Linked DNA regions of Drosophila melanogaster. The protein of the gene in region 1 purifies or fractionates together with the protein of each later gene. This does not show direct contact. Each region holds a gene or a part of one and is shown in the gene's direction. Other genes may lie near its edges.

The links. The genes of interacting proteins can lie anywhere in the genome.
Region 2: the proteins of gsb (region 1) and Rab14 purify together in Drosophila melanogaster (affinity purification with mass spectrometry, with the first as the bait; one large-scale study listed by BioGRID). This does not show direct contact.

What each region holds. Positions count from the first base shown.
Region 1 is NT_033778.4:25,060,068-25,065,408, forward strand, and holds gsb (gooseberry), read left to right. Parts: upstream 1-1,896; 5' UTR 1,897-2,080; coding exon 2,081-2,135; intron 2,136-3,166; coding exon 3,167-4,395; 3' UTR 4,396-4,576; downstream 4,577-5,341. UniProt on the Drosophila melanogaster protein: Expressed in segmentally repeating pattern to define the polarity of embryonic segments.
Region 2 is NT_033779.5:14,354,712-14,359,429, forward strand, and holds Rab14 (Rab14), read left to right. Parts: upstream 1-2,329; 5' UTR 2,330-2,496; coding exon 2,497-2,560; intron 2,561-2,569; exon of another isoform or gene 2,570-2,629; coding exon 2,630-2,743; intron 2,744-2,808; coding exon 2,809-2,989; intron 2,990-3,043; coding exon 3,044-3,226; intron 3,227-3,294; coding exon 3,295-3,472; 3' UTR 3,473-4,053; downstream 4,054-4,718. Other genes in the region: l(2)34Fd (lethal (2) 34Fd), read right to left, coding at 1-162, 221-286; Pgant35A (polypeptide N-acetylgalactosaminyltransferase 35A), read left to right, coding at 4,669-4,718.

The sequences.
Region 1 (5,341 bases):
ATTGGAGTTGCCTGTCACGGTCCTTCGTTTGAGAAATGAAATCGAATTCCGCAGCATTTTAAAGCCATCACTCAAGTCAATTCCTTCGCTTGCAGCCTTCGCCTGCCGGTTCACAAATGAATTTTCCAACTTGGGGTAAACCACGCAATGTACAGTTCGACTGCCAGGCGAATACATTGCCTTTGAGCCTTCCGTCTATGACTGGCTTAGAAAAATGTTTCAAAAAACCAATAAAAATGCCGCAGTCAAGGAGTGAAAAGAATTTTGTTATTTGGCGTCGGTTCTGCTTTTTGTATTTACCAGATAAGTTCTTATTTACAAAAGTTAGTCCAGGTCAACGGAGACCTGGTCGATGGAGAGAAACAGAGTCCGAACACTTGCCATTTGAATGCTCAATAGATTCCGATTCATCATTCGCACTGACGCACAATCCATATCGGAATCTGCATCTAAGGCAGTGTCGGCATCGAAGACTTTGCCAATCGCACAGTAGCAGTTTCAGTTGTCAAATGATTTGAGCGATTGCCTTGCGGCAAAGCCACACAGAGCGTAACGGCCAGCCAAACAATGGACCTAAATTATTGCCAAATAGCATATACTCACCATCGCACCCACGCCGAAAGTATCTCACAGATACATATACCGCTGGACGAGTATCTCGACAATTGCCTGCCCCAAAACCAGGGGCCACAAACTTTGTCTACATTGTTCGCGTACATAGCCTTGCCTTGGATATGATGCTGCATAATTTCAATGCTCGCGCACGCGGCGTATACGCAACATGGCCAAAACGCCTTTGATATTGACCGCTCATAGCTAAGCAGTCTCAAAAATTAACCGAGTGCATGACTCGGAAATGAAGTTTACATTTCCTCTTCCTTTTTACCTGTGCGAAAATGTTTTACCCAGCTTCCCACTCAGCAACACATACAAAAGGCCGTTCCCATTCTCTTTTTGTCATGAATATTAATTTTTAGAGTTGTTTTACAGATGGGGCTCTTCTAATTAGCTTTTGCAAACAGTGTCTGTTAAGTAGAGCCAGTAATTGAATCACAACTTCGGAATGAACTTTTAATGAAGCATGTCGACTATTTAGCCATTAGTCTCAATACGGCTGTCTTTAAATTCAAATTCCAATTGAAAGCAACTATTTAATCAATCGCGTTCACTTGTTTGAAAAGTAAAATCCTGCCACAGACTTCACCAGACACGCGTATCTTAGCCCCACGCCTTTTTCCATTTAACCAAGGCCATTGGTTTGGCGAGGGCGGCTTGCAGACAAAATAAAATGCAAGTTAAATGCGTTTCATAGACCGTCTGTTGCGGTCTTAGAAACCTTTTGCATTCTTTTTTTATTTGCCCGTTCATTCAAGGTTTTTCTATGGATATTTCAACAGTTTGTTTGTGGCGGCGATGGAAATAGTGCTCACAATATATTTACGATATTCGGAATCAGCTTGCCAGCTCACCCACCTCAAGCCTATGATTTTCGTCCCAAAGCATAACTTCAAATCAAGCGCATATTAAATAAACAATCATAATGGAGTACCGACTGAGCCCACTCGGAATTTTATAAATCCCAAATCCTTCAGGAAGGGATACTAAACCGAATTCTGTTCGGTTTTCTGGAGGCGGAGCTAAAGAAATTACAGTCATGCTATGGAGTCTCTCTCGTTTCTGGTTCGACGGCACTGCTCTCGCTCACACTTTCAGGCTGAGCAGCTGATCCGCTCTAACCACCGGTACCGATCGCAGCCTCTCGCTCTTGCATCGCCTGGCTGCCGGCCTGCAATTCCACCCTCGCGCCCGCACTGCTTCTTCACTGAACAAAACTAGTTTCTTGGCTCTGAGAATCTCACGGATTCGTTTTAGTCTTGCGGCTGACCGTTTCAAAATCAGTTTCGAGCTGTCAAGCAACCGAGCAGCATCATCATTCACTGCGCACTCGCAACAGCAGATACACACTCCAAAAATAATTTAGAATTCCTAACAGTCGGGCCTCGCGAAGATTAATTTGAAACGTATAAGTAAAAGTGTTAACAAAACTCCGAAGAACTCTCAAAAGGATTACCGCAAGGAAATGGCTGTTTCGGCTCTCAACATGACACCCTACTTTGGCGGATATCCCTTTCAAGGTAAGCACCGACAGATAGATACAAGATCACAACGACCATTACCAATTACCACAATTACTGGTACAAAACGCCAGATTCAGACGCAGAAAAGTGCTGGCTCATCATTTGGGGCAGCGCTTTCGCCCGCTGTTTTCAAACGAGGGATCATTACCCGTTCGGCAGCATGATCAGCTTTCTGACTTATTGATTGTAATCGGCAACTAGCCCGGACAGGCAATGGCCATACCCAGACCCAGTGAAAAGCCAACCTCTTCGAACCCCAGCTTAAGGTGCGGACTTTGCAGACTTTTTGGCGCGACCGTCTTGCCAGCTCATGTCTCGACTCATGCCACGGCGGCGTCGTGTCGCTGGGCTTTGATCTTGAATCGACTCAGTGTCTGTGTTGGAGCTCGGGGTCTTGTGTATCACGTAGCTCAGTAACGTCAGCGCCCCAAACATCAGACCCTGCACAGGGACCGGGCTTTCATTTCTCTTTACGGCTGTTTTGGGGCCGCCTTTTCATATACACACACTTGTATTAGCCGGCGCAGCTGGGCATCTGCTGCTCTTATGGATTATTAGTTTGATTTGATTGCAAAAGCCGGCCCGGGATGCAGCTATGTTCGCAGCCGCGTCCCCTGTCGAGATTGGTATTTTTCCCCACCACCGCATACCATTCGTCTGCAAGAGGCTTACTATTTTCTCAAAAAGGCCCACGCAAATGACCAATTTGCGTTTTGTTATGTCTACAAATGGCTATGGTATCGTTTGTGCCAATCTTCAACAAAAGATCGTGCGTATTGATCCTGCGGCTTATCCTGATTAGTGCAGTTCAGTTAGTAAGCAATTGAAGTGGTCAATGCCGTCTAACTAGATTACTTTCTTTCGCTCAATGGAGCAAGGAAAAAAGTTAATTTAAATATCGTTCCGAAAACAAGACCACACAACTAACGTACTTAAGATATTGTAATGGGATCAGACTTCCATGGACGTACTTACGAACAAATGCTGACTTGCAAGTGTATTCATGCCTGTTTCTCTAATTCTTCCAGGACAAGGTCGTGTCAACCAGTTGGGTGGCGTCTTCATCAACGGCCGTCCGTTGCCCAATCACATCCGTCGCCAAATCGTGGAGATGGCAGCAGCTGGAGTCCGTCCCTGTGTCATCTCCCGCCAGCTGCGCGTCTCTCATGGCTGCGTCTCAAAGATTCTAAACCGCTTCCAGGAGACTGGCTCCATTCGGCCCGGAGTAATCGGTGGCAGCAAGCCCCGTGTAGCCACGCCAGACATTGAGTCCAGAATCGAGGAACTTAAACAGTCGCAGCCCGGTATTTTTAGTTGGGAAATCCGCGCCAAGCTAATCGAAGCGGGAGTCTGCGACAAGCAAAATGCTCCGTCGGTGAGCTCTATTTCGCGTCTTCTGCGAGGATCCTCCGGATCAGGGACCTCCCACAGCATCGACGGCATCCTCGGCGGAGGCGCTGGTTCTGTGGGAAGCGAGGATGAGAGCGAGGACGATGCCGAGCCCAGTGTGCAGTTAAAAAGGAAACAAAGGCGTTCCCGGACGACATTCTCCAACGACCAGATCGACGCCCTAGAGCGCATCTTCGCCCGTACACAGTACCCCGATGTCTACACCCGGGAGGAGTTGGCCCAGAGCACGGGATTGACCGAGGCCCGTGTCCAAGTTTGGTTCTCTAATCGCCGTGCTCGTCTGCGCAAGCAACTGAACACCCAGCAGGTGCCTAGCTTTGCTCCCACATCTACTTCTTTTGGCGCAACTCCCACTACCAGTGCCGCCCCTGCTCCAAACATGGGAATGAGCCTTTACAGTTCACAGAGCTGGCCATCATCCGGAGCCTATGAAAATCATGCTGCCTATGGTGGATCGGTTGCATCCATGTCCCCCGCCAGCAGCACCTCGGGTACCAGCTCTGCCGCCCACAGTCCCGTACAGACGCAAGCGCAGCAGCCAGGAACTGGAAGCGAGTTTATGACCTCCACTTACGGCGTGGGATCGAGCAATGCTACTTACCCATCGGCTGCCTATTCAATGCCGCAGACTCCTGCTACATCCGCGGAGCAGCTGAGATCCCAGTTTGCATCTGCCGCCGCTTCGGGCTCTCACCACCCCTCCACGTGGGACAGCTACAACTTTGCGGGTTCCTTTTTCCCTCCCGCTTCTGCCGCAGGCAACCATATTAGCGGCTACCATCATCAGGTTGATCAGAAGAGCTCAATGATGACCACTGCACCAACCTATCCATACTTTGGATTTTGAGACGATCCCTGCTTGTTCCTAATCTTGTGGGTCGTTTGAAAACTTTAACAGTACTTTAATGTTGCTACTCGTATAGACCTACATTTAACACCCCTAAGACTGTTTAAATTAGTACTTTAATACAAATGTTAGTTTTAGGTTAAGGAGCAATTATCAAAACAATAAAAGAAAACATTTAAATAAAACCCAACGGTTAGTTTTATTTCTGAGAACTAAAATATACCTATATATAATTTAAAAATCAAGAAATATGGGATCATTGCGTTTCTGTATACCCAGAAAAAATAAAGTACGAAAAGCTTTATTAGCTCGTTAAACATAATGATATCTCTTTAATCCCGCAATTCTTTACCTTTTCAATGTTTCCAAATTCGTATTTTATAAATTTCAAACGGTGATTTTTGATTTAAATGTAAGTGTACGGTGAATTCAATTAATTCTGAATGGAAGTTATATCCAACCATATAAATTTTCACAATATACTCAAGCCGCTTACACTTCATTAAACTAATAACAATTCTAGACCACACACATCAACAGTTTTTGTCAAGTTCCTGTGGCAACCTAACAGGTTAACAAGCCCATCCGAGTAATCCCTCAAAATAGTCTAGAAACGTTTCTTTAAATTGTCAAAGTGATGTTAATCATCGATCGTCTTCAAATCTGTGCAGATTGGAAGAAGGCCGTGATCTGGATGAGGGCGCTCTTTAGGCATATTCAAACAAAAACTGGCTCATGATCTGACCATTAAACAATTAGAGACAAAAACGGACAACACGTACTGCGGATTTGATAATACAAAAATAATTAGGGATTGGTGAATGGTTTGGGAAAACCACACACATCGCAGCAAAATAGAGTAATTGACAAGGTAGATGGGCAAAGTATGAGCAGTGGAATCGGGCGACCACCAACGTCACTGAATCGTGACTTTTAAGATGCCGCC
Region 2 (4,718 bases), on another chromosome or scaffold:
GCGCGGCTTGTAAGTGCCGGTGGCCAGGATGTACTGTTGGTCGGGACTCATGCGGATGCTGGTGCAGACGCCGGGCATATCGAAGTCCTGGATGAGCTCGATCTGTCTCCGGGAGTCCACTTTTTTCATGAGCTGTGACCGCTTTCGCCGATCCGTCAGCCACTGTGAAGGAGATACTCATGAGTTAACTGCTTGGCAACGGGTTTATCTTGCTACTCACATCTGGCACCGACTTGCCGGCGCTCAGGTTGTAGATCTTCACATCGTTAACTTCGTTTACGAACATCTTGAGGGACGATTTTTGCTCAAAATTAAAACATAAACAAACGAAGTCCGCAACACGTGCGCCCTCTATCGATAGACACGATTGTCGATAGCATCTGGCTGCGATAAGCACCTATCGCGGCAGTGTGACCCTTGGCTTGCCAATTGCTCAGTGTGACCGCAGGAAACCAAGCAAAACAAGAGAACGCAAAAGCAGTGAAAAAAGACTACTGATTTGCATCGACCTACCAATTGAAAATAATCGCAATAATTGCCTCTCGGTGCAGCCCCGCAACCCCGCGAAGCCAGTGTGCGTGCTAGCACGAAAGTGAACTGCATTTTGCATCGCCAAATTGCCCAAAAATTGCAATCGAATTCCGCACAGCCAAACAACAATACGCACACATACACACAGTACCCCCCGCTCTGCGTAACCGCCCTACGTTACACATTCCGTTCGCTCCCTAAGGTGGACTAAAACTAAAGTGATCTAAAACGGTGAGTAATATTCGTTGTTTTTCCTTAAGCCAATTAAACACTGATTAAATTATGCGAAATGGAAAACCGTCTGCGAAGGGGTGACGCAGTGCAGCTGTGGGTGCTCCGCAACTTTCCCTTGTGCTCTCGCTCTCTCTTGTTTTTGTCGTTAGGCAGCAGCACTCCATTGTTGTTGTATACACCCCCTGATTGCTTTGATACCCTGCAATGGGGAGTTACTGTTTTGTGACCAAGTTAAGAAAATAAATATGATTTACAAAAATCGATTAATTCTGGGGATGTTTCAGGTTTTTATGGTGTATAATTTATTTTTTGAATTTTTAGGGGATGGTGGGGCAAAAACGGCCGCCACTCTACTTAAAAATCGGTAGGTGAGGAGTTTGTTTAGTATACGCTATAAATAAATACTCTAAATTAGTTTTTATAAGATGGATTATTATATGAGTGTATGAGTTATCATAGAAATATTTACCTGTGCTTATATATTAATTTATTATATGAATTATGCAAACAAGGTTTTTTCAAAATGTAGGCGAGCATGAATAAAAAATTATAATAAATCAGAAGTTTTCTTAGTAGTTGTTATCAGTTATTAATATATTTCTTTTTCATTTTGTTGTGTCTTATTGCGTTGTTGTCTTCAATGCGGGCTTATTTTATTAGTTTGAATGGATGTGCGCTTATTTGTAGATACTCAAATATCAAATCGTATTCAGTTATATCTTAGAAATGGAATATAAAGCGCACATTTATAAAAGTATATTTATATTTAAGATTTTTTGCCAAAGGGTATACATACTTCGTCTGTGTATAAATATATATTTCTCATACTCCTTTCGTTATTTTCCCTGTTATGGGTGCGCCGCTGTGTTCCTTTTATGAGGGGCAATGATGATCCACTTCCATTCAACACATTTTGCAAATAAGTACATATGTACTTCGCCTCCATTGATTGCTCCACTGATGTTTGGCCTTTGGCGCTTGACTGATAAGACTCGAGACCGAGACCTACTACTTAGTTAGTCTAAACTGCCCGTCATAGAGCCTATTAAACTGATATGCACTTGTCACTTTGACAAGCAATGATAAGCGATTATAACTGTATTTGATGATTTAAGTATGAGCAATTAAGAATCCATAATTGATACTCATCTTTTCACACTATATGCTGCTAAGTCACATTCTTTTGTATGAAATTCATTCATATGAAGTAAGGCAGGATGATTACCCTAAATACAAACTAACTTGATGAATAACTTCGCGCGTACTGCTCTTAATAATTGAATTCCCACGATTGCTTGCTCGGCGACCTTGATCCAAATCGCTTTCAGCTTGGGCGAAGGGTTCAATTCACTCTCTTCAGCGCCCCTTAACTGCGGACAAATCAAAGGCTTTCGAACGACACGGATACTGCGAATGGACAAAGTCAAGTGGCATGAAGTGGATATACCCGCCGCTCTTGAAGCTTGCCTCTTTCTTATTTTTTTTTTTTTTTGGCTTCAGTTGGCAGGCAAACAAACCCGGTCGGCTGTTCAAACACAAGCAGGCCTTAAAAAGAAATATCGGGGCCAGTTCGAGAAAGGGGAACAAAATGTGGTGTCGACGCAGAACAAATTAATGCAGCGCCTCGGTTTGTTGATAAGCAGCGACTACGGTTGGACATTCAAATGAGGAGCTGATAGTAGTAGTTAACACTGTTTGATTGGGTCAGAGTTCATTTCTGCCGGTGTCAAGATGAGCAAAGTGCGCAGCGTGGTGAACAAACTGCACGAACGCATAGACTACTTTATTGAAAAATGTGTGAAATATTCTATATACTCAATGACTCTGCAATGTAATAATAATAATAATTTCGCTTGCTTTTTAGGTCCCAACATGACTGCAGCGCCATACAACTACAACTATATCTTTAAATACATCATCATTGGTGACATGGGCGTGGGCAAGTCCTGCCTGCTCCACCAGTTCACCGAGAAGAAATGTGAGTAGACTGTGCTGAGTAATAATGTATGTAATAAGAACTAATCTCTACTTGCCGTCCTGCAGTCATGGCCAATTGTCCTCACACCATTGGCGTGGAGTTCGGCACACGCATCATTGAGGTGGACGACAAAAAGATCAAGCTACAGATCTGGGACACAGCGGGTCAGGAGCGATTCAGGGCAGTGACACGCTCCTATTACCGTGGAGCAGCTGGTGCGCTGATGGTCTACGATATTACCAGGCGGTAAGCGAAGCAAGCTACTATTTGAGAAATTGCTTTACAACTTGACCATTCCAGCTCCACGTACAATCACCTGAGCAGCTGGCTTACCGACACTCGCAATCTCACCAATCCCAGCACTGTGATCTTTCTCATTGGCAACAAATCGGATCTGGAGAGCACTCGGGAGGTTACCTACGAGGAGGCCAAGGAGTTTGCCGACGAGAACGGCCTAATGTTTCTCGAAGCGAGCGCTATGACGTGAGTTTCAACTGGAAGCATAGTGTTTGAGCATATACTGATTATCTTTTTTTTTATCGCCCAAACAGTGGCCAGAATGTGGAGGAGGCTTTTCTGGAGACCGCACGCAAGATTTACCAGAACATCCAGGAGGGTCGGCTCGATCTGAACGCCTCCGAGTCCGGAGTTCAGCACAGGCCATCGCAGCCGTCGCGAACTTCGCTGAGTAGCGAGGCTACGGGCGCCAAGGATCAGTGCTCGTGCTAAATGAATGATGGAACCTAACTTTACGCAAAACCTAGTTATACAAATCAACTTTTATTTTTAGCCGACTCGTAATCTACCGATGCCCAAGCAAAAACCAATGTATGTAGTTAAATAATTCGATTAAGCATCAATGTGTGAGCCAACAACAGCGACAGCAACCACAAAAAAAAAAAAAAACAGAAAAAGAAAATATAAAGTCCTTTCGCTTAATAAGACGCAAGCATTGCAACATTTATTGTATCGGTTAAGCATAAATACTAGAAAATTAAACATGTTTGTTGGCGCAAACTAAAGTTTTGACCATGAAATTTCGAAAAGTTTATCGCACTAACACCATCCTTCGGTCTCAATTTATAGATGAATTCGTTTGAGATATAGATCATGTTTTTGTTGGCTGATGAATCCCTGTATATAATATATATATGTATGAATTTTTGTATCTCCCTAATTTTTTGTTGAGTATTTGTTGTTGTCGCGTGCAAGAATTGGAGGAAACGATCAATGTTATATGAATATTTACGATGTATTAATGGCATAATGCAATAGGAAATAAATAAAATGGTATTTATAAAACCCCTACCAATAGAAATGAATTTCTCTTTCAAATAATTTAAATTTTAATTTGCATATTTAACCATTCGTTTATATTTAATTCTACACCAAATCGCTGGATAATTTTATAATTTACCGGATTTCCATTTAATAGATTTAAATTTTATAAATATTTGGGTACTTACGATTTACTTAAATATTTTGTAAAAAGCTTTTTTAATCCATTTAGTGGAATACCCTCAACTTTGACTTGCGCATAACTTCATTCTTGTTTTATTTAGTGATGCTAACGTTGGGTTGGAAATCAGCTGATTATGACTATGAACAATAAAGTTTGTAAGTCAAACAACGATTTTTCGTATACTGTTCTTTTGTTTGTTGCTGGTTGTCTAATTAATCATTTTAACTGGTTATCAGTCCAATTTTTGTTTTCTACACTACACTATTCTACACTATTTTCGATTTCCTTGAAATTTAGCGGGAAAAACTCTGAGCTAGCATCTTCGGTGGCATCGCTGTGTGCGCGCTTTTGTGCGAATGCCATGGTATGCAAATTAAATTTAATTTATTCCGATCATCATGAAAGTGACAAAGTAGCTGCTTAAGTAGCCAGGGAAGCGCACAACGTAATCTAATCTCGATCCATGATGCAAATCAAGCGCCTCCTGTGCAAATCCTGCGGCCTGGGCACCCT